Macaca fascicularis: one gene and its partners. The protein of the gene in region 3 interacts with the protein of the main gene of each other region in a biochemical or structural test. Links are inferred from orthologs where the notes say so. Each region holds a gene or a part of one and is shown on either strand. Other genes may lie near its edges.

Region 1 (6,200 bases), on a different chromosome or scaffold from region 3:
GTTAGACTTAGAAAGAACTGGGTTCAAGTCCAGAGTCTGTCACTGAGTGACTCTGGACACTTTATTTTAATCTCTGCAAACTTATTTCCTTTATTGTGAAATGAGAATAACAATAGAATCTGCTTACAATAATAGTATTTACAACAACTGGGTTGTTGTAAGGATTAAATAACATACTGCTTTTTAAGGGCTAAACTTATTATAAAGTTAACTATAATTCTACAATTATTATGAAAGCTGAACTGTGGGCCAGACACGGGGGCTCACACCTATAGTCCCAGCACTTTGGGAGGCGGGAGGATCACTTGAGGCCAACAGTTCAAGACCAGCCTGGCCAACATAGTGAAATCCCCATTTCTACTGAAAAAGCAAAATAAACAAAAAATTAGCTGGATGTGGTGGCACACACCTGTAATCTCAACTGCTCAGGAGGCTAAGAAGCGTGTGAACCCAGGAGGTGGAGATTGCAGTGAGCTGAGATCATGCCACAGAGTAAGACTCTGTCTCAAAACAAAACAAACCAAAACCAAAACCAAAACCAAAACCACACAACATAAAGCTGAACTGTGGATATGATCTATTTGTGGGGGAGGGGAGGGTTTGAAACAAGGTCTTGTTCTGTCTTCCAGGCTGGAGTGCCCATGGCTCACTGCAGCCTTGAACTCCTAGGCTCAAGCAATCCTCCTACCTCAGCCTCCCAACTAGCTGGGACTACAGGGGTGTACCACCACACTGAACTAATTTTTTTTTTTTTTGAGATGGAGTTTCACTCTTGTTGCCCAGGCTGGAGTGCAATGGCGCGATCTTGGCTCACCTCAACCTCTGCCTCCCGAGTTCAAATGATTCTCCTTCCTCAGCCTCCCGAGTAGCTGGGATTACAGGTGCCCACCACCATGCCCAGCAAATTTTGTATTTTTAGTAGAGATGGGGTTTTGCCATGTTGGTCAGGCTTGTCTCGAACTCCCGACCTCAGGTGATCAGCCCACCTCAGCCTCCCAAAGTGCTGGGATTATAGGTGTGAGCCACCGTGCCCAGCCTGAACGAATTTTTTTTATAGAGATGGGGTCTTGCTATGATGCCTAAGCTTGTCTCAAAGTCCTGGGCTCAATTAATCCTCCCACCTAAGCCTCCCAAAGCACTGGGATTATAGGCATGAGCCACCACACCGGGCAAATATGATCTATTTTGTCATTACATTGTTTATAAATGTTCTATATATGTTCTATATATAGAAATGTTCTATATATCAACATGTATATTATATTACAAATACTATTATGTATTATAAATAACATAGCAAAAAATAAAATAAAAAATCAAGTGCTAAACTTAGTACTTGACACAGAGCAAGTGCTCATTAAACGTGTTCCAAGGATAATAATGATTTAATGCAATGGATTTCTTTCCCTTCTTTGTCCTTCATTCCCACGATAATTATAGAACAATTTTTCCTTTTTTATTCTTAATAAAATAGTAACCCTTTTCATGTGAATATAATTACCTCTGTTCCCCGGAGGTCCTTAGGAAAATAGACATCTTCGGTCATTTGAACACTTAGGCCAAAATCCACCAAAACAGCTTTTGTGGACATGAAAACAATGTTGCTAGCTAAAATGAGAGGAAATTTTTTAAGATAAAATTTTTTATATATTCATAAGTCAAATGAAAACATTATCTGAAACAATAATGAATCTCAAATCAGAAAAGACTGAAATGCTTCCTCTAGTGAGATGGGTGTATTATATTCAAAAGGGGAGAATGCATCTCAGATTTTAGGTGAAAATCACTTCGGATCCATCAGGAATTCAGCCAATGTGGGTATGAATGATTGTAGCCATTAATAATGGTCAAGAACTTGAGTTTCAAACTCTACGACATAAGCATATTGTTGTCAAGCCACTTTTCTAAAGCAGAAAAGTAAAATACCCATTTTTTTCCCCCAGTAAAAGTTATGCCACTCTAATTTAGTACCGGCTATTAAAGGTTTACCTATTTCCTCATCATATCAGACTCCTAGAAAACAGTTATCAAAGTTGTGTTTAATGGATTATTATTACATTGGTATACAAAATGAAAGAGGTATTTGTTTCTCAAAAATATTTGTCTCTGTGTTTGTATGTTTTTAAGTAAATCGCATTTTTTTTGGTGGGGAGGGGACGGAGTTTTGCTGTTGTCACCCAGGCTGGAGTGCAATGGCGCCATGTCAGCTCACTGCAACCTCCGCCTCCCAGATTCAAATGATTCTCCTGCCTCAGCCTCCCAAGTAGCTGGGATTACCAGCACCCAACACCACGCCCAGCTAATTTTTTTTTTTTTTTTTTTTTTTTGTATTTTTAGTAGAGACAGGGTTTCACCACATTGGCCAGGCTGGTCTCCAGTTTCTGACCTCAGGTGATCCATGTGCCACAGCATCCCAAAGTGCTGAGATTACAGGCATGAGCCATCACGCCCAGCCTAAACTGCAATTTTAAAAGCCTTTTTAACAGAGCAGTACCTAAGAGGTATGTAGCTATAACTTTTCAACAACTGTTCAAAGTAATCTTTCTGTATGACTTGGAAAGCTCTAGTAACCCCGCATGATTCTAAGACATGTCTCTGGAGAAGGAAGATGGACGGTGCTCTGAGGGAGCTTTCCATCCTTCATGGAGGGTCTTCAGATTACAGGAAGGAGCTTGTTTGTCTCCTGAATAACTAGTCTCTTTGAGCCAAAAAGGTGTATGTCCAAAGATACTTACGTTTAATATCATGATGGATTACTTTCTTTGAGTGTAGAAAATCAAGTCCCTTGAGAACATGCTTTGTCACCCAAATAATTTCAAATTCTCTCATTGGTCCACAGCTCTCCAGTTTCTCCAGAACAGACCCTCCCTCGCCTGCTTCCATAAAGAGATGGACAGTTTCACCCCACAGGACTGCGCCATACAGCTCTGCGATGTTCTCGTGCCGGAAGCAAGCCTGGATTTCCACATCAGATGGCTTAAATTGATCTACTGGGATCTGGAACACAAAAATACGAGCGAGATTCTAAACAACCCCAAAGTCATCTTAAAAATATATAATATAGGTCAATGCAAAAACCAAAAGGCAAATAAATGTCCTCAAGAATACTCTGCCCTGTGTGAAAACGGACTGCCCAGGTACAATACTGTTTGCCTCAGATCTGCCTTTAACTATGTTAGTCAGCTTTCAGTATAAAATTCAGAACAAGAAAATAAAAAACAAAATAATGAGTTATTATTTTCACTTAGAAGTCAGAAATCCATCCAATGTTTTCAAATTATGAATGAATCAAAAAAGAGATAATTTCCCACCTATTAGACAACAGTATCTTTGGTACCTAGATTTTAGGTTGTATTTTCAATATTTCAGTTTATTGTGAGATAGTATGAAGTGTTTGTTGCCACAGTTCATACTCTATTATAGCAACGTATTTAAAATAAGCACTGAAAATGGACACGGTGGCTCATGCCTGTAATCCCAACACTTTGGGAGGCCAATGTGGGTAGATCACTTGAGGCCAGGAGTTCAAGACCAGCCTGGCCAACATGTCGAAACCCCATTTCTACAAAAAATACAAAAATTAGCCAGGCATTGGTTGTGCACGCCTGTAATCCCAGCTACTCTCTTATTACAATAGGAGAGACCAAGACATAATATTTGGCAATTATTTATTTTATTTTTTGTTAAATCAAAAGTGAGTGTATTTTTTGTTGTACTTTTTGAAAAATTAATTAAAGCAAAACAGACATACAAAAAAGTGTAAAAATGATGAGTCCAACTCAATGAATTATCAACTGAATGTACAAATGTAACCCCCATCTAAATCAAAATGAAAAACCACATCAGGCCAGGTGCGGCAGCTCACGCCTGTAATTCCAGTGCTGTGGGAGACCAAGGCAGGTGGATGGCTTGAGGTCAGGAGTTCGAGACAAGCCTGGCCAATATGGCAAAACCCCATCTCTACTAAAATATGAAAATTAGGTGGGCATGGTGGTGGGTGCCTGTAATCCCAGTTACTTGGGAGGCTGATGCAGGAGAATTGTTTGAACCCAGGAGGTGGAGTTTGCAGTGAGCCAAGACCCTGACACTGCACTCCAGCCTGGACAACAGAGCAAGACTCTGTCTCAAAAAAAAAAAAAAAAAAAGAAGGGATAGGGTCTTTTCAATCATTGATATATTTAAATTCAGCCTTTTAAATCTGCCTTCCTGAGAAGGCTACCTCCTTCCCAATCTGCCTCTGCCTGGCCCCCTCCGCAGCTGAATGAAAGGAGAATCACATAGAATTGCTTCTACTTCGCAGGATGGCTCTTCTCTACCTCTCTCCAAGAGTGATGATGTTATTTATCCAAATCAGTGCTTTAAAAACCAGCACTTTCCTTGTAATCATCTAGATTAAAATCAACTATGCTCCTAAACAGAGATTTTGGGGCTGAATGGCCCCAAGTAGCCAATGAATTCAGAAAAACAAATGCTTTGAGGCAGTGCACCCTTAGATAAGATCCAATCAAAGGATAAAAATCTTTGGTTAATGCAAATGGACAAACAAACAAAAGCCAGAATGCCAAACACACAGTGTGGGTTATCTAGTTACATAACACATACCAGTTTACACGCCATTCTTTTCTTCGTCTTTATATCTTGTGCCAAGTATACCTTTCCAAAGGCTCCCCGAGGAATAAAATCAGAACCAATATTTCTGTAAGTCAGCTTCCAAGGGATCAGGAGAACATCAGAGTCTATTTGGTAACGTCCATTTTGAGGAGTGATGACCTACAGCAAAATAAAAATGTGAGAGGGTGAGGACTTCAGTCAAGTTGACTTTTTCTAAGTTTCCATTAGGAGACTGGTTATTTTAGCAGCATTCTGATACACAGTTACAAAATTAATGTCACCGTGCTTAATCCTACCAACTGTACAGACCTATATTTAGAGCTTGAGGAAGTCAGAGAGAGCATGTAACAGACACAGGTGCCTGGTCAGACCTGGTCATATTTCCACCTACTCATGAGTAATTAATTGCCAAATAGAACTTTAAAAATTATTTATCTAAAAAAGCATGACTACGGCAACCAGAAGGTTGAAAATAAAGATTGCGTAAATATAAACCATGCCTGCAGGTTGACTTGTTTCTATTAAAATGTGCGAACCTGTTAGTCCACATAGCTATTACTCACACATGATGCATACAGAGAAAGAGCATCAAAATTAACTGATGATCATGGAAGATTTTGGAAAACCACAGCGTATGCCAGAGCTATGAGTTGACAATGCTATGTAAATTAAGTGAGGGCTGAATTACTTCTCATCTACTTACTCACTTAATATCTATTGCATGCATTGTATCTATTGTGTGCAAAAAAGTTGCTAGGCACTGTGTTTGGCGCTGCGGAGGCAGCCATGAACAAGAGATGGCTGATCCTTGACCTCCCAGGGTTCACAAGCAAGCTGACTCTTAGAAGTTTTGAAACTAGTTGATTCAAACATTGAGAGACAGCTGGGAGCAGTGGATAACGCCTGTAATACTAGCACACTGGGAGGCTGAGGCAGGAGGCTATCTTGAGGCAAGAGCAGCCTAGGCAACATAGCGAGACCTCATTTCTACAGAAGGAAATAAAAACACAATATAAATTTTAAAATAATAAAACAAAAATTAAGAGGTCTACTCTGATAGCAATGTGGGTTCAAAGGCACATGCATTTGTCAAAACTCGTAAAATTGGACATTTAACATCTGTGTATTTGGCTATATATAAAATATATTTCAATTTTTAAAGAGGAAAAAATTAGAAGAGAAAATAATTATAATCAAAATTAAAACAAAATAATATGGTAGTTCATGGGAAATGCGATCTGGAATACCTGTCTGTAACATGTCCAAAGTGTTCTTTCAAGGGATAAATCACCTCAGTACCAGTTTCTCCTCAATGTAATCAGTAATATTACAGCTTCTGATTCGGAATTCAGGAATTATGAAACTTCTTCTTCTTCTTTTTTTTTTTTTTTTTGAGATGCAGTCTTGCTCTGTTGGCTAGGCTGGAGTGCAATGGAATGATCTTGGCTCACTGCAACCTCTGCCTCCCAGGTTCAAGGGATTCTCTCATCTCAGCCTCCTGAGTAGCTGGGATTACAGGTGTGCACCACCACGCTCGGCTAAATTTTGTATTTTTAGTAGAGACGGGGTTTCACCATGTTGGCCAGGCT
Region 2 (6,200 bases), on a different chromosome or scaffold from region 3:
CATCATGTTAGCCAGGCTGGTCTTGAACTCCGGACCTCGTGATCCACCCACCTTGGACTCCCAAAGTGCTGGAATTACAGGCGTGAGCCACCACGCCCGGCCAAGAAAATGACATCTTTTTCTAATTTAAACAGAAGCATCGAAGTCCTAGTGGTAGCCCTGATTAGCAATATGGAAAATTTCCAAGTACATTATTGCTTGTGTCATACCTTAGAGAAGGAAAGAAGAATGAGAGAGGCGTATATTGAAGAGTTGTAACTGCCTGTTGTTTAAGGATAGAATAGTAAATACTCATCTTTAGTACTTACTAAAGATGAAGTTGCTCAGGACTTAAGTGGCGGCAGTCTGTTGTAATGGTTCGGCGGCACATCGGCTCTGCAGTCAGATGGCCTCTCTTCTTCTCTAATTGGTCACCTTATTCAAGCTGTTACAACCTGTTTGTGCATCAGTGTTTTCATACGTAAGATGAGGATAATAATATTTGTAGGGTGACAAGGTTATACATATCATAAGGTTATGCATATTGATGTAATCTGTGTGCTATATATGCCAAATATCTATGCGTATGTTATGTAAACTCTTGTCATGGGAAGCCCTTGGGACTTTTTTATTTAAAATGGTATCTGGGCTCGGCATGGTGGCTCACGCCCAGAATCCCAGCACTTTGGGAGGCCGAGGCGGGTGGATCATGAGGTCAGGAATTTAAGACCAGCCTGGCCAATGTGGTGAAACCCTGTCCCTACTAAAAATACAAAAAAAGTAGCTGGGCATGGTGGCGGGTGCCTGTAATCCCAGCTACTCGGGAGGCTGAGGCAGAGAATTGCTTGAATCTGGGAGGTGGAGGTTGCAGTGAGCTGAGATCGCACCATTGCACTCCAGCCTGGGCGACAGAGCGAGACTCCATCTCAAAAACAAACAAACAAACAAACAAAAAACGGTATCTGGCTATAGCGTCAGGTACTATACCCAGACTCCCATCTCACCCCAGATTTCCCTGAATCAAATGGGCAAGAGAGCTTGGGTGGCCATCTAAGTTTGGTAATCCGTATCCTGTGTGAATGGGCGGCTCTAGTCATCCTGTGCCTTGATTCCCACTTCTTTTGAACCTGTGCTGAATTGCTCTGGGTCTTTGTTTCATCTTTCCACCAAGCCAACTTGTTTTTCTCCTCCACTATTTTATTTCTCATATGTGGGAAACAGACTGCATAACTAACTTTCAAAATGTAGCTTTAATAATCTAGTGGTAATATGTAACACTTGGTTTATGGAGACTAATCTAGCTGTTAGTTGTTTGAAATAGCAAGTATCTTTCATTAAATAACTTTACAGAATTCAGAGAAACAGTTGACATCCAGATGCTGAGATTTTTCAACGACATTTGTTTTATACTGTATTAATAACCATAACTATAAATTTTAGAGCGGTGAACTTTTTAAATTAGATTGGCTCATAATATCATTTATGTAACTTTCTCTTCAATGAATGGGATTAACAACCTACACAAACTAGATTTTTCATTAAAGGATTTTATGTTAAACTGTAGCGTTATGACCAAAATTTGTGAAAATTTGAACGTGGAAAACTGCTAAAACATGCTTCTATGTATTTTTCCAAAGCTTAGCCATATTTTCTCTGCCAGTCCAAGAGCCCTGACAGGTTAATTATAATCATGGCTTGTTTCATCTAAATATGACATGAAATGTGAGCTATTAAAATTCTAAGAATTCTGTCATATGGTTAAGACTGAGGTAGGTTTTTTGTTTAGGTTAATTAAGCACTTCCCCCTTTATATATAAAAACAGGTTGAGTACAATTATATGAATTTTTGTAATTATTGTGGATGAGCATGTTGGTAACATTATCTCTCAAGTATTAAAATAGCAGGCCGGGCTCAGTGGCTCATGCCTATAAGCCCAGCACTTTGAGAGGCCAAGGCGGGTGGGTCACCTGAGGTCAGGACTTTGAGACCAGCCTGACCAACACAGAAAACCTGGTCTCAATTAAAAATACAAAAATTAGCCGGACGTGGTAGTACATGACTATAATCCCAGCTACTCGGGAGGCTGACAGGAGAATGGCTTGAACCCAGGAGTTGGAGGTTACAGTGAACCAAGATCACACCACTGTACTCTACCCTGGGCAACAAGAGTGAAACTCCATCTCAAAAAAAATAGCAGGAATGAATCAAACAGATTTGCTTTTAAATTCCTAATTTTAAGCAGCTCAAGCAAACTTCTTGCTAAGCATTTTTTTTTTTTTAAAGACAGAGTCTCGCTCTGTTGCCCCGGCTGGAGTCAGTGGCGCGAACTCCGCTCACTGCAAGCTCCGCCTCCCGGGTTCACGCCATTCTCCTGCCTCAGCCTCCCAAGTAGCTGGGACTACAGGCGCCCGCCACCATGCCCGGCTAGTTTTTTGTATTTTTAGTAGAGATGGAGTTTCACCATGTAGCCAGGATGGTCTCGAGCTCCTGACCTCGTGATCCACCGGCCTCGGCCTCCCAAAGTGCCGGGATTACAGGCGTGAGCCAACACACCCAGCCCTTGCTAAGCATTTTAACATCCTCCTCCTTCCCCAACAAAATTAGCTCCTCATTTGTGTTAATGTGACCCTATGTACAGACCTTTCTTCCGTAGCACTCAGCAGCTGGTATCATAGTTAATGGCCTGAGAGTTTTGTGTTAGGCATCTCTGTATGTAGTGTTTAATACAAAGTCTGGCATGATGTTGGTCATGCTGTGTTGAAAATATGGGAAGTAGCATTTTGAAACATACAACTGGTATTTTGTAAAATGACTTCTCAAGTATTAAAGTGTTAAATGATGTAGAATATGCTAATTGTCTCACTTTAATTTCATCATCTCAATAGGACTATACAGGCTCCAACCCAAGTTCCAGTGGTTGTGTCTCCTAGGAATCAGCAGTTGCATACAGTAACACTCCAAACAGTGCCACTCACAACAGTTATAGCCAGCACAGATCCATCGGCAGGTACTGGATCTCAGAAGTTTATTTTGCAAGCCATTCCATCATCACAGCCCATGACAGTACTGAAAGAAAATGTCATGCTACAGTCACAAAAGGCAGGCTCTCCTCCTTCAATTGTCTTGGGCCCTGCCCAGGTTCAGCAGGTCCTTACTAGCAATGTTCAGACCATTTGCAATGGAACCGTCAGTGTGGCTTCCTCTCCATCCTTCAATGCTACTGCACCTGTGGTGACCTTTTCTCCTCGCAGTTCACAGCTGGTTGCTCACCCACCTGGCACTGTAATCACTTCAGTTATCAAAACTCAAGAAACAAAAACTCTTACACAGGAAGTAGAGAAAAAGGAATCTGAAGATCATTTGAAAGAGAACACTGAGAAAACGGAGCAGCAGCCACAGCCTTATGTGATGGTAGTGTCCAGTTCCAATGGATTTACTTCTCAGGTAGCTATGAAACAAAACGAACTGCTGGAACCCAACTCTTTTTAGTTAATATACCAAAGCTTATGGATGATTGTTTGTTAATTGAACATTTTCAATTATATGCAAACTGATTGATTCTAAGATAAAGTCTAAGGAGGTTTCTAATTTTGTAATTGTTAAAGATAGAGTTAATTTTGATTTTGTTAGATGAGGGAGGAAAACTCAACTGTTTCTCTTTGTTATCTAAATGTTTCAGAATTCAGTCGTGAAGGAACAGGCATTTTACACTATGAAGACATGCTTTTGAGATTCTTTTTTCAGTTGCTATATCATAAGCATTTTTAAAGTTCCTTTTCTAATTTTACATTGTATTAGATTTTCTGATTCTTTTGTAAATACAGAACTTAAATAGAAGGCAACAGGAAATTTATATAGGAACTATTTTCATTCCACTTGTGTAAGTTAAGTCTTGACTCTTTCAAATGCAAAAAACCTATTTTATGCTTTGTTAAAATTATGGTGTCACTTAGATTGACTTTAGCTGGCTGTACTATATAATATAGAACTATGAATATGTAAAATAACATGAAAAATTGGAGGTGCTGGTAGTGTGGCTGACCCTGTTTCAGAAACAGGATAGTGTAAAAGCATCAGCCTAAGAATGGCACTCCCACTAACTCGCTATGTAATCTTGACCTCTTTGGGCTTTAGTTCTTCTCATAAAAGGAAGAGATGTGTTGGACTAGACTAGATGATCACCACTGTCTCTTCTAGTTCTAATCTTTTTAATTCTAATACCTGTATTTTCAAGTTATGTCAATTAAATCATTATCAGGTTATTTCCTAATGTAAGAATAGCTGAAATGTTGCAGAGAAATAAGTGACCCAACAAAATTTATTCATCTGTGATGGGTAAGATTTGCCATAAATTCTTCCTAAATAATTTGTTTACTATGTTACTAACTCTTTAGGCCACTGTGCTTTGCAGTCCATTAGTAAACTTGTGTTGCTAAGTGCTAAACAGAATACTGCTATTTTGAGAGAGTCAAGACTCTTTCTTAAGGGCCAAGAAAGCAACTTGAGCCTTGGGCTAATCTGGCTGAGTAGTCAGTTATAAAAGCGTAATTGCTTTATATTTTGGATCATTTTTTATTGGGGGTGGACTTGGGGGGTTGCATACAAAGATAACATATATATCCAAGTTTCTGAAATGAAATGTTTTTAGATTACTTTTCAACTGTAAATAATGTACATTTAATGTCACAAAAAAATTGTCTTCTGCAAATTTTCTAGTATAACAGAAATTTTTGTAGATGAAATCATTATGTTTAGAGGTCTAATGTTATGTTTTCATATTACAGAGTGAATTTGTATTTAAACAAAAATTTAAATTTTGGAATCCTCTAAACAATTTTGTATCTTTAATTGGTTTATTATTAAATAAATCATATAAAAATTCTCAGTGTTTCTGTTTTCAGGCAAAAGTTTCTTAAAGAATAAGTGTACAAAGAATATTGCTAGAACATTAGCATTACTTAATGTTTATAAATAAACAAACTCCATTAGTCAGAATTGTAGGATATCATCCTTTCACTTTTCCTTTATAGCAGGCCAAATGGCAGTTTCTAAACATCACACAATGGATTACCAAGTTGTAAAAATTAGACAACAATAAAATATTCCCAGCAAAAATATTAAACACACTTTTGTTTCGTTTTGTTTTGTTTTTGAGACAGAGTCTCAGCTCTGTCGCCCAGGCTGGAGAATAGTGGCATGATCTCGGCTCACTGCAACCTCCACCTCCCAGGTTCTAGCTATTTTCCTGCCTTAGCCTCTCAAGTAGCTGGGATTACAGGTGCCCACCACCACATCCAGCTAATTTTTTGTATTTTTAGTAGATACGGGGTTTCACCATGTTGGCCAGGCTGGTCTTGAACTGATCTCAGGTGATCTGCTCGCCTTGGCCTCCCAAAGTGCTGGGATTGTAGGTGTAAGCCACCACGCCCCACCTAAACACACTTTTGAAAATAAGTTTTCTAGTTAGAAACTAGGTCAGTTAATAGTTAAACTTGGAAAACATCGAAAAATTTTCTTATGAAAATTAAAGTCTCTGTAATCCAATAAGAAGTAACTTTCACTTATTCATTTTTTCATGTTTGTGAATGTTCTTCCAAAATGTGATTTTAAAGGCCGTGTAATATTATATTAGTACACCAAAATCCAGTTAAATAAAACCTTTTTAACTAGATAAGTTAGTTTTATAGTTTTTCACCACATAGTGAATATCAGTGTCTTAGTTTGTCGTCTTCGTTGCTGCTATAACATAATACCTGGGACTGGGTAATTTATAATGAACAGAAATTTATTTGCCCACAGTTCTGGAGTCTGGGAAGTCCAATATTCATGCACCAGCAGGTTTGGCAGTTCTCATTCCAAACAGTGCCTGAACACCGTGCTCTCTGGAGGGAAAGAAGGCTTCATCTTCAAATGGCAAAGAGAAAAGCAAAGAGCCCACTTCCACTTCCAGAAGACTTTTATTTATTTATTTATTTATTTTTTGAGACAGAGTTTTGCTCTTGATGCCCAGGCTGGGGTGCAATGGCGTGATCTCGGCTCACCTCAACTTCCGTCTCCCGGTTTCAAGTGATTCTCCTACCTCAGCCTCCCAAGTAGCTGCGATTACAGGCATGCACCACCACACCCAGCTAATTTTCTATTTTTAGTCGAGGCAGGGGTTTCTCCATGTTGGTCAGTCTGGTCTCGAACTCACAACCTCAGGTGATCTGCCCACCTCGGC
Region 3 (6,668 bases):
AAGACAGTATATTAATTTGCACCCAGGAACAACCTCTAATACAGCAGAGACCAAAAGTATGAAGCAATTTCATCATCATTAAAAGAATGTTAACTACTTTTTTCTCTTTTTTTCTTCTAAAAGTGAGGCACTGGATACTAATTAATGAAATATTACAAAGATAAAAGGCTTGGTTATGTTACCAGAACTATTAACTGTACCAAATTATGTGGTTTCAAATATTAATCTTTTTTGATTAAAAAAAATTCACAGTCAAGGAGCCAAATTGACTTGCAGGACTATGCCAAAATGTTCAAACCTTTCTCCCTGAGGCTGAGTAGCTTCAGTTCTTCCAAACTCTCTGTCTCCAAAGTAGTGACAGAATTCAAAGAGATATCATATGCTCTTGATGGTTTATTGCTCACCTCTAAGAACACTGCAAGTGAGTTCAATATTCATGGGAAGTGCAAGAGTGCAAATGAGAACTAATTCCCAAAAAGCAGAGTAAATTGCTCCAGTATGGTCTACTGGTTACCAAGACGTAGTCATCAATTAACGCTGATTAGACACAAACGTAGATGTAGGAGCAGCATATCTTAACATATCCTCTGGCACTAACTTCTATTTTGCCTTCTCCTTCTCTTCTAATATAACAATCCCACTACTGTAGACAATTCACATTGTAAACAGAAAACCAAGAGACCAACCAAATAAAACAAACTTCCTACTAAAAGTAAAAAAGCTAATGAGAAATTTTGCATAGCCATTCATTCATAGACATCCATTCCTGTTAATGTGATTTCTGATCAATCTGTGGACTAGAAGCGCATAATCTGAGTATTTACTCTATTGGTTATACAACAGTACTGTGCATTTCCAGATACACTTCCTACTGCAGTCAATTCTATGCTCAGAAGAGCACATCTATTAAGACCTGAAGATGAAAAAGATGACATTTTTGAGTACTTCATGAAAAATCCATACAGCAACTCAGACACAATTATTTTATTGTTTGAAAATATCGACTACTTTTCTTACTTCTCCCAAGTTCAAACCAATTGAAGGTTATGAAGTAATCACTTCCCCTCAGAAGCCAGAACTTTCACCTCTTCTGAAGAGAGAAATACCTCTCATAAATTAGGTAAAAATAAGGTCTTGCTGATGGAATGATAGTCCAACATTCATGTAGCTGCCAATTCCCTATCTAGACCTCGTATCTACCACAATGAGCAATCCCTGAAAGTCAAGGTAGTAACTTACTTAATCAATTATCTGCAAGTCTAAAAGTGTAGCTAAAACAACCTACATAAATAATTAGTTTCTCACACTACTTCAATTTGTTTCCAGGAACAGTAACAACAGAAATGTAAGGAATATGATCACTAAATCTAAAATTCTTCCTATTTCAAGATTAATTGTGCTTTAATCAACTCAGTCATCACAGATCTTGTTTAAGAGGTAGAGTAAAAAGGAAGTGCAAAGATCAAAGCAATGCTTACAAAGGGGAAGGACTATTTTTGTATGTATACCCCAGTATTTACTATCTGGGTTTGAAAAACAGGGGCATTTACTCAGCACAAGTGAGTGCCAACGACGAACGTAAGAATGAAATTTCAGAAAAAAAGATAAAAGATTTTCAAATCACCACCAACCCCAAAACGATTATACTATTTTCCTTAAAAAGTGTCAAAGAGTTTAGAAGTGGTTTGCTTTTCACTGCAAGCAGCTTTTCGGTTCCAGTATTAAATGTACATAAAACGTGTGTTCCTTTGTGTTCAAGTTTGTCCAGTAGGTTGCAGACCAGGAAGACATTTTATCTAAACAAGCAGGGGAGGGCATTTAGGAATTGCAGGTGTATCAATATGGATGAATAATCTCAGATTCCAAGTCTCCATTCATCGTATATGTTCTTTTCATTTCAGCAATTCAATTAAATCATGAACGTAAAATTCTACAGGAAATAAATCTTTTCATTTCCTGTCTTCCCAAGTTTATAAACTGAAAAAAGTACACTGCTTCAAATTTAAATACATACATTTAAACACATAATTCCCATAGTGCCTCAAGCAGTAAAAGGATTCATCTCTAGAAAGCACAAAATTAAAATCAGAAAAACAACATACTTCAATTTTAAGTTTCCCTTTTAAAGTTTTAACAAACACGAATGCAGTTTAAACTGCTTGACAATATTCAGTTGTGGGATTCTGCTAGAAGAAAATTATTGAACATCTTGACCCTAACCTTTAGTATTTACTAAAGATCACCAGTGTGTAGAATATTTTGATGCCAGAGTTATTAAATGTTCTAGTAATACCATAAGCATTTTTTCAGATTATAAGCTTTATAACAAAATCTTTGAGTTAAATATGGTTATTTCATAAACTGTAATGCTGAAAACCTCTACTTAACAAAGTCCATGAAAATGTCTCAAATCTTGATAATTAAATCCTGTATCATTAAGTCCCATTTCAGTTTCAGGATAGACCAGTAAGTCAGGGCAAACATTCCCTGGTGTCTGTTTTTAAGGACCATAGAAAAACTTACATTTAGGATAGGCTTTGTTTTTACATTGTTTTTGTTTCAGAAGTCATGCATAATACATGGTGGCACTGTCCAAGAATTTTACATAATCAAGTCTAAAAAGTGCTCTAAGTATCCAACTAGGTAATTTATTTTCTCTCTCAAATGCCAGGCCCCAGAGGATCAGAATCAAGTCCTATAGCAGGTGACTATATCGTGTGTGTGTGTGTGTGTGTGTGTGTGTGTGTGTGTGTGTGTGTACGGAGGGGTGGGGGGAGGGAGAGAAAAAGAGACAGAGAGAGGGCCAGGCTTCTTTTAGAAGTAGGAGAGGGATGAATAGACTCTCCTATTCAATTCTGGGGAGCTGGAGAGGGCTTTCCCTGCCAGGAGGACTGACAAGCACTTCTTCTTTCATTTCATGGAACGCCCTTAGGTGAAATCTGGTTCTGCACTGCACCAACCACCTTCCCTCTCTCCTCCGCGCCGCAGCGCACCTCAACCTTCTCACTATCCCCCAGCTGGGGCTGGGGTTGGGGGATTTTAAAAGTTTGTAAGAGTTCCCCTCCGATTCGCATTCCCACCCCGCGGAGGGACGTGAAGAGAAATGAGCGCCGGGCAGCCACGGCCCTTCGGCCGACTAGCCCCTGCGAGGTCCGGATGTGCCTTACCCCGCTGTCGCCAATCCCATGTGCCTCTCACTACTGTCAACCTCCTCCCACGGTCTAGCCCAGCGGTTAGCGCAGGAATGAGGAAGTCCGAGTGGGGCTGGAGGGGGTGCGGAGAGCTGGATGGCGGGACTCGAGCCACGCGTCCCCTGCCGGGCCCCCACTCGCCCGAGTTTGGCTTACCCTGGTGGCGAGTCCGCGTTCGGCCTCCTGGCGCAGGTCTCTCCCTCCTGGGCGGCGCGGGCCTGCGGGCTGGAGAGGGAAGAGGCGGTGGCCGGCCGGAGCCCGAGCGGGCCCGGGTGCGGGTCGGGGCGAGCGGTAGCGCGGCGGGGCCGGGCCAGGCCAGTCAGCGCCGCGCCATGTCCGCAGCGCGGGCGGAGGGAAGCGCAGGGCGCGCGGTGGCCGGGCGGCGGCGCCGCCTTACTGGCCGGGCGGCTGCGGCCTCGGCGGCGCTGGGCTCCGGGAGCGGGGCCGGCGGCTGCGTGCAGGCCGAGGGCGGCGGCGGCTGGCGGCCCGACCGACGGGAAGGGCAGGGGAAGCTGTCAGCGCGTCGCCGGGCCGCTCCGGTGGCGAAACCTCCTCTTCCTGCCCCGGCTAGCTGGTGCACTTCTCTCTCTTTCTCTCTCGCTCACTCTCTCACTTCCTGGCTGGAAATTCCCACTGACGTCGAGAGAGCATACAGACAGACGGACACACGCGCGCACGCAGCGGGGGCGGGAGGTGGGGTCGCTGCCGGGGGTGGGGGAAGCCCGCACTTTTGGGGGCCGTGCGCCCCCGGCCCGGCCTCGTTGCTCGGTTGGGCTCCCGCCCCTCGGGGCCGCTTCGGGGCGCCGGGCGAGGGGCGCGCGTTAGGCGGCCTGGACGCCGGGATCCCCGGCGTGACTCTGGCTTCCTAGCCGGGCGCTCCCAAATCCCGAGGGCTGGAGCCGGTAGGGACGCCCCCAGGAAGCGCCAGCCGGGCCCAGTGGTCCGGGAACACAGGCGGCGCGGAGGCGGCGGCGGTGCCGCTGATAGAGTCATGCGGTCCATAGCCCCTAAGGGCAGGCCCGAGCAGCTGGAGGGTCGGCATGGATCCAAGCATGCCAGATATAAAAATAAAGCTCATCTGTATATTCCATTTAAATGTGTCTCGGTTACATTCAGATCTCTTCACAGATTAAACTAGAATTTCGTTATCATAACCGACTTGTGTCCAGTAAAGTATAACCCTCTACTGGTTTTTGGTGCGGTCTTAAATATCCTCGTTATAGGGCAGTTACTCAATATTCATCTACAAGGCATTGTTAGGCCTTTATGATAATTACTGTGGATAGAATTATAGTGATGGTGGTAGCAATGGTTTTGGTTTACAGCTCATAAAATACTGATCTGGCAGAGGGGAGTTTTCTTTTTCTCTGAAGAGACCGCTACTGGCACCCATTGACAGGCCTGCCAGTGACCACCGTTCACTGGCATCTGAGCTGCTTTAGTGCTGGGCGCTGTACTAGGCACAGGCTGGGGATACCTTGGGTTGCATTACCTCCCCACATAAGAAATCTTGAGCTGAAACATATATTTTAGAGCTCATTGTTTCACTAGTGGGTCGAGTGACAACTGAAAGCTTAGCTTTAAAATATCGGTAATCAGGTCCTTACCAGGCAATAGTGCAGTGGCATTCAGATTCCTTATAGCATGTTCATCCTAGTCGTTTTGTGCCCACTCTCCGTCCTCCTCCTCCACTAGGTTATAAAAACCTTCTTGGTGGAGTGTTTTTCTGGCAAAAACAAAAAACAAAACAAAACAAACAAAAAAACCACACATACGCGCACAACCAAAAGTAAAAACAGAGATTCATTTGATTGCCTATGACAGGAGCCTCTGGGGCGACCTTGGAGGCACCCAACAGTTGACCTTTAAGCGATCTCATTTAGCTCCTGGAGGCTGAGCAGGTGGAATTCAGAGGATCCATAAAGACTGAACACAACGACTTTTTAAGAAATTTTGTGGGCCGAGTGCGGTGGCTCACGCCTGTCATCCCAGCACTTTGGGATGCCGAGGCAGGTGGATCACCTGAGGTCAGGAGTTGGAGACCAGCCTGACCAATATGGGGAAACCCCGTCTCTACTAAAAATACAAAATATTAGCCGGGCTTGGTGGCAGGCGCCTGTAATCCCAGCTACTTGGGAGGCTGAGGCAGGAGAATCGCTTGAACTCCGGAGGCAGAGGTTGCAGTGAGCCGAGATTGTGCTACTGCACTCCAGCCTGGGCGAGACCGAGCGAGACTCCTTCTCAAAAAGAAAGAAAGAAATTATGTGTTGTTATTTATGGGACAGATTAGAAATTATGCCAATAGTATAGGAGATTGAAATATAGTTTATGTAAAATGATTTTTGCCAGTGACATGAGTAAGAAGTCTGCAAGTTCCCATGAAACAAAGTGTAAGGGGTGTGGATTTTCCCCCACTTTGGGAGGTATGAGCATACACGCTCTACTTTTCATTCTGCAAGGAGTGGCAGCCCCATTACCAAAAGATAGGTAAATAGAATTGTTACAAGAGTAGAGCCAGTGTGACATATTTGGGGGTAAAAAATGAAGAGTGTTAATTACTGAAAGGGATTAAATCAGACTCCAAACTCAAAATGATTCCATAAAATGAACTTAAAATTGAGGGTAGGGTGTTGAGCAGGCATGTTAGTTTCCTGGGGCTGCTGTAAAAAGTTACCACCGGCTGAATGACTTACAATGGGAATTTATTCTGTCACAGTCCTGGAGCCTAAAATTCTGAACTCAAGGTGCCATCAAGGCCATGCTCCCTTGAAGACTCTAGGGAGGAATCCTTTGCCGCCTCCTAGCTTCTGGTGGCTCCAGCAATCCTTGCCATTCTTGGCTTGGGTGCAACACTTCATTCTGTGCCTACATGGTCACATGGTCTCCTTCCCTGTGTTTCCTTTGTGTCCCTATATTCAAATCTCCCTCACCTTTCTTTTATGAAGACACCAGTCATTGGATTTAGAGCCCACCCCAATCCAGTATTACCTCATCTTAACTTGATAACATTTGCAAAGATCGTAGTTCCAAATAAACTCATGTTCACGGGTACCTGTGGTTAGGACTTGAACATACGTTTTGGGGGGATGTAATTCCATGCAGCACAGCAGATAAAACTGTAAAAGCCTTCAGTTTACTCTTTTTGGCTCGCTGATTAACCCTCCTCCGTTCCTGCTTTGTTACCCAACGTTTTCTCTATACTCTGTACAAATCTGCTTCCAGGAATATTTCTTACAAATTCATCCATCCTAAAGTGTCAGAAGGTATTTACCATTATCAGGCTATGAAGAGAAAAAAAATGCCTCAATGTGGAATTTCAGGCATCAATATTGTCTAAAAGACAAGTTATACTGTGTTTGTCACTTGTCTTAGTTCATTTGTGTTGCTATGGCAGAATACCCAAGACTGGGTAGTTTATAATGAAAAGAGGTTTATTAGGCTCACAGTCTGCAGACTATACAAGAAGCATGTCACCAG
Region 4 (5,847 bases), on a different chromosome or scaffold from region 3:
ACAGACATGTTAAAAATACAACAGCCACCAACACATTTCAGGTTATTGTTACTCTTCAGGAGGCAATCAGGACAATTTAGAAATATACTGAAACCCGGCCGGGTGCAGTGGCTCACGCCTATAATCCCAACACTTTGGGAGGCCACGGTGGGCAGATCATGACGTCAGGAGTTCGAGACCAGCCTGGCCAAAATGGTGAAACCCTGTTTCTACTAAAAATACAAAAATTAGCCTGGCGTGGTGGCAAGCTCCTATAGTTCCAGCTACTTAGGAGGCTGAGGCAGAAGAATCACTTGAACCTGGGAGGCAGGGGTTGCAGTGAGCTGAGATCATACCATTGCTTTCCAGCCTGGGCGAAAGAGCGAGACTCCATCTCAAAAAAAAAACAACAAACAAAAATAAAAAGAAATATATTGAAACCCCTTTATTGGCTAGGTATGGTGGCTCATGCCTGTGGTCCCAGCACTTTGGGAGCCAGAGGCGAGCGGATTGCTTGAGGCCAGGAGTTCAAGACCAGCCTGGGCAACATAGCAAGACCCAGGCTGCATAAAATAAATAAATTAATTAAACAAATACAAATTAAAAAGCCAAACCCTTTTATTAATAAGTTTTGTGACTGCAGGGCACTCTTGAGCTAAGTTACATATTCAAACTGTACAGGATCTTTTCTTTGGATTGGCTCAGAGTCCTTAAGATTCTGTGACTGTGGGAATTAGAAAGGCGATGTCAGTACCACCGTGGCTCACAGCACTCACTCTCGTGCTCACTGTGGGTAGCTAATCTCAGCTATGGATTTCCAGCCTCACCACATGACTCGGCCTGATGAGACTTCCTCTTCCTCCCACGGACGTGCAAGTAAGCAATGAACTGATCAAAACATTATTGTGCCAGGAGGAAGAGAGCAGCAAGAAATACAGAATGCCCACAGACTGGAGGAGGACATGCGACTACATCAGCAAAGGCTGCAATTCACAGTAGTATCCCCTGCAATTCTTCCGAAAAGCTTAAAGTTAGGGGAGGTTAGCAAGTGATTAGCAGGTAAAGACCATGTAAAGATCTAGGCAAATGATGCAGGATTCTCTCAACAATGAAGCTTTGTCTTAATGTACCTATATCTTGACTAGTGGTCTCATAACTAGTACTACCTACTGCTAAGCTCCAAGGCCCTGAGGACATGGCCATGGCTGGTTCCCGCTCCCAGCCCAGCACTCAACACACAAATCCTCAGCAGTAGTACCAATGGTGCAGGTGGGGACAGGCTTCTGGGGAAAATGCTACCTTCCTCCTCATCATAGGAATTAAGTGTTGCAAGGATTAAATAAGATAATGCATATATGTAGTTGTAAGCCTTCAATAATTGTTAGTCATCACTATTATTATGAATAATAAAAAATGTGTAATGGAAAATTATAAATATGCACTGAAAAAATCAGCTGGGTGTGGTGACGCACGCCTATAGTCCCAGCTACTCAGGAGGCTGAGGCATGAGAATCACTTGAACCCGGGAAGCAGAGGTTGCAGTGAGCCAAGATCATGCCACCGCACTCCAGCCTGGGTGACAGGGAAAGACCCTGTCATAAACAAACAAACAAACACTGAGGTTGGGGATAATGCCAGATTGTGTTTCCATTTTCTTTTCTCTTTTGCTATAGAATGAAAGGACATGGAATCGCAGGGGGCTCACACAGGCTGTTACCGTGAAACTCTGGTCTTGCTCCCTCACGGTGTCCTGTATGGCATTTTCTAGCAGGGTGCACAGGTTATGTGCTTCGGCCACCAGTTCTTCACTAAAGAAAATGATCAAATTATTAGAAAGCGATCATTATTAGTTATCAGAGCTAACACTGCTATTTTAAAATATGCTAAAGAGTTTTGATAATACTTTTTAAATGAAGTAACAATTATTTTGATCCTGAGTGTCTTAAAACACCAACCCATTGACTAATACTTTCATCTTGTTATGCACTTTCCACACATGAGCATTACTGCCAAAAAGGCAAACAGATCTCCATAAAAAGTCAGAAGTAAAAAGAGCTCTTTCTGCTTTCTGACTTACTAGATAGCTGAATTTAATTCTCAAACTGCCAAAATCTAAAGATATTCTCCAAATCACCTGTTTTCCAATTTCTGAAGTAGACAAAAAAAAAAGGGCCAACCAATTTATCAGGGTTCCATAGTTCCTTGGAATCTGTTGAAAAGCAGTTCTGGGATTTGGTTTCATCTAATCTGATCTCTCTCTTTTCTATAATAAGAAACCCATGTTTCCTCTGAGGATTGGGCCACATTGAGAAAGCGCAGCATGTAATAAAACATCTTTTTCTAACCTCAGCTCTATGCTGTGGGGAGACAAGAGACATCCTACATACCCAGGTCTACCTTTCTAGAGCTTTGAGGACATCATTGAAGGGAATAAGCCACGTAAGGGAAGACAGTGCCCCGGAACTCCTCTCACTCTGCAAAATGTGACAATCTGATGGCAGGAGCTCAGAGTACATTTTTGCCAAACCTCAGCTACAGGGCCTCTAGCTAGGCTAAAGGCTCAGTGCCTGCCCCAGAAGGGAATGGAAGAGGCTCCTGGCCTAGCTACTATACTCCAGGAGCTCATGAGAGGTTGGGGAAGTACTTTTTATTTAACAAAAAAAAAGGGCCGGATGCGGTGGCTCACGCCTGTAATCCCAGCACTTTGGGAGACTGAGGCGGACGGATCACCTGAGGTCTGGAGTTTAAGACCAGCCAGACCAACAGGCTGGAGAAACCCTGTCTCTAATAAAAACACAAATTTAGCAAGGCCTGGTGGCTCATGCCTGTAATCCCAGCTACTCGGGAGGCTGAGGCAGGAGAATCGCGTGAACCCAGGAGGCTGAGTTTGAGGTGAGCTGAGATTGCGCCATTGCACTCCAGCCTGGGCAACAAGAGCGAAACTCCGTCTCAAAAAAAAAAAAGAGAAGCAGTCTCACTACGTTGCCCAGGCTTGCCTCAAACTCCTGCAAACCTCCTGCCTCGGCCTCCCAAAGTGCTAGGATTACAAGAATGTGCCATACGGCCGAGAGAAAATTAAGTATCCAAGGTCACATAAATATCAAAATAGGCTACAAAGTCCCCAAGGACAAGAACAAGATTCTTCAAAGCAGACTGTATTGAGATATAATTTACATACCATAAAGCTCACCCATTTAAAGTGTACAATTCAAGGGTTTTCGCATATTTACAGAGTTGTGCAACCATCACCATGTCTAGTTTCAGAATGTTTTCTTCATCCTCAGAAGAAACCTTGCATTATCAGTCACTCCCATCCTCCTCCCCTGCCCCAGGCAATCATCAGTGTTTCCCATGCCTAGAGATTAGTTCCTGCAGAAACCCATAGAGCCCTGCACACAGAAAGTGTCAAACAAAACAAACCACAGGAAGGGACGACCGTGGGAACAGAGGTGGCCTGCAGTGTGCTGGAGAATGGGCGGAGGGCTGCTAGACACAGACTGCTGGGCCCCAACCCTGAGCTCCCAAGTGAGGTCTCCGGCAGGACCTGAGAATTTGATACTGTGCTACTGGCACAGATGAGACCTGAAGAAAGCTCAGACCTGAGCATCTATAACGGAGGGGGAAGCTGTTATTCATGACTGACCAAGGAATACCTTGGTCAGAGTGGTATTTTGTGAAGATTAATTCAACCACACAGGGCTTGGCAGCAGAAAGGCAGGAGGCAGGACGCAGAAAGCCCTGCCGCCATGGTTCAGGCAAGAGGAGGCAGAGGACGGGAAGAACGGGAAGGTCAGTGGCACCAGAAGGAGGGTGGTGACTTGGTAACTCAAGGGAGTGGTAGGGTGAGTGGGGGCAGATGGCTCAGGGGAGATGAAAGATGAAGTGGGCCTCCCTGAAGGGAATGTGGCTTCCTATGGATAAAAGGTAGCAGCATGTGCCCAACCAGCATTTCCAATGTTCTCATTAAGCAGTTAGTCATCCAAGCCTTGGACAAAGAAACTAGTTAGTAAGTTTCAAGGGACTAGGAGAGCAAAACATGTAACACTTTTGTCCCCACAGGACCTAGCAGATGCAACAAACATCCAGAGAGGTAGTGATATCATTGGACAGACATTTACCAGTGACAAACGCCTCCATCCCCAATCTCCTGACGTGCCCTCGACAGTCACACTTGGCGCTGCTAACGGGGACCTACCTCTTCTTGGCTGGTTCGGGTAAGCTGTTGGAGGCCGTGGAGGGCTGAGACATCAGCTGCCCAGGCTGGCTAAGTCGAGAGGCATTCATGCTATCCGGGCTTCCACTGACAGGACCACGGACCTTGCTCTAGGGGACAAAATCAAAAGAAATTAGGAGCCAAGTGACGAATCACATTTTGCATTCACACCACAGTATTTTCTCAGGAGACAACTGACTGCCAGATGCCAGAGCTAACCCTACAGCCTACCAGTCGGCACCCCTACCTGGGGGGCAGCTGGTGCTTCATATCTGGCTTCAAAAGTGTTTCTGTATCAACAGGGGGACTTTTGAGGAAAGGATTCTAAATTTAAGGAGACCTGGGTGCCTACATTTATTGCAGGTTTTTTTATTTTCATCGGCTTTATTGCTTGATTGATTGATAATGATTGAGAGTCTCGCTCTGTCACCCAGGTGGAGTGCAATGAGCGATCTTGGCTCACTGTAACCTCCACCTCCTGGGTTCAAGCAATTCTCCTGCCTCAGCCTCCCAAGTAGCTGGGACTACAGGCATGTGCCACTACACCCAGCTAATTTTTGTATTTTTAGTAGAGACAGTGTTTCACCGTATTGACCAGGCTGGTCTCGAACTCCTGACCTCAGGTGATCTGCCTCAGCCTCCCAAAGTTCTAGGATTCATGATCCACTGCATCCGGCCCCTTAATGAACTTTTACAAGAAAAGAACAGGAAAGTATTTTTACTCTTTTCCAGGTAGAAGACAGACACACACACAAAGGCTATGGGAGTTCCTGTGGCTCATATCCTCTATGACCTGGCTGAGAAGAAACCAGGATGCACTGACTCCGAAGGGGCTGCAGCCACTGCTCCTCCCAGCCCAAAGGGTCAAGCAGGGGCTCCTGTTCCAGCTACCTGAGCCTCCTCAGCTCACAGCCCATGACCGCCGGCCAACCTTCAGGTCACCCCTCCACTGATCTCTGCCCTGCATGGTCCCCAACCCACCTGTGTAGTCCCCCAACCCCCGCTCCTGGCACTCATTGCGGCCTGCAGTCCTTCATCCCCTCACATGTCCCTCAGGCCATGGAACCCTCCTGGCTCCACATCCTCCCCTCTAGCGAAACCTCAAGGCCCACAAGTCAAGGAGCCATGCAAGCGCCCAAGCCTCCATTCCTGGTCCTCCTGCTGCACCTTCCCTGCTGACCATGCCTGGGAGAGGCCCAGCATTGACCTCCTGTGCTTCTGCCCTTGACCGAAAGTGTGGCAGGGGATGGCTCCTGCGCTGCCTGGCTCCCTCCCTGCCAGGCCCTGCCCCAGCTCCTGCCCCGCCCCGTCCTGTGCTGCACAGGGGTGGCTCAACTCCAACCCTGCTGAGGGGCCCTTCTCAGTGCTGAGGTTGGCCAAGGGCTCAGATTCTCCAGCTGCCTGGAGAGGGACTTCCCAAAATCCCAGATGTGATCATATCCCCACACTCAATTCCTTTAATATCAAGGGAAAAGACAGATACTGCGATGTGTCCTGTGTGCTTTGAAAATGGACATGGGCCAGGCGCAGTAGCTCATGCCATTAATCCCAGCACTTTGGGAGGCCAAGGCAGGTGGATCTCTTGAGGCCAGGAGTTTGAGACCAGCCTGGCCAACACGGTGAAACCCCATCTCTACTAAAAGTACAAAAATTAG

The links.
Region 1: the proteins of NFKB1 (region 3) and MAP3K8 form a complex in vitro, tested with the Homo sapiens proteins (2 studies listed by BioGRID and IntAct, with this or other methods). The link is inferred for Macaca fascicularis from reciprocal best matches to the Homo sapiens genes NFKB1 and MAP3K8.
Region 2: the proteins of NFKB1 (region 3) and ELF1 form a complex in vitro, tested with the Homo sapiens proteins (2 studies listed by BioGRID). The link is inferred for Macaca fascicularis from reciprocal best matches to the Homo sapiens genes NFKB1 and ELF1.
Region 4: of the proteins of NFKB1 (region 3) and IKBKB, one has a biochemical effect on the other in vitro, tested with the Homo sapiens proteins (4 studies listed by BioGRID and IntAct). The link is inferred for Macaca fascicularis from reciprocal best matches to the Homo sapiens genes NFKB1 and IKBKB.

Annotation. Positions count from the first base shown.
Region 1 is NC_088383.1:31,170,422-31,176,621, reverse strand, and holds part of MAP3K8 (mitogen-activated protein kinase kinase kinase 8), read right to left. Parts: intron 4,771-6,200; coding exon 4,603-4,770; intron 2,998-4,602; coding exon 2,736-2,997; intron 1,609-2,735; coding exon 1,502-1,608; intron 1-1,501.
Region 2 is NC_088391.1:20,303,473-20,309,672, reverse strand, and holds the end of ELF1 (ETS-related transcription factor Elf-1), read left to right. Parts: intron 1-2,865; coding exon 2,866-3,469; 3' UTR 3,470-4,859; downstream 4,860-6,200.
Region 3 is NC_088379.1:108,166,635-108,173,302, reverse strand, and holds the start of NFKB1 (nuclear factor NF-kappa-B p105 subunit), read right to left. Parts: upstream 3,803-6,668; 5' UTR 3,348-3,802; intron 1-3,347.
Region 4 is NC_088382.1:45,839,170-45,845,016, reverse strand, and holds part of IKBKB (inhibitor of nuclear factor kappa-B kinase subunit beta), read right to left. Parts: intron 4,303-5,847; coding exon 4,175-4,302; intron 1,788-4,174; coding exon 1,697-1,787; intron 1-1,696.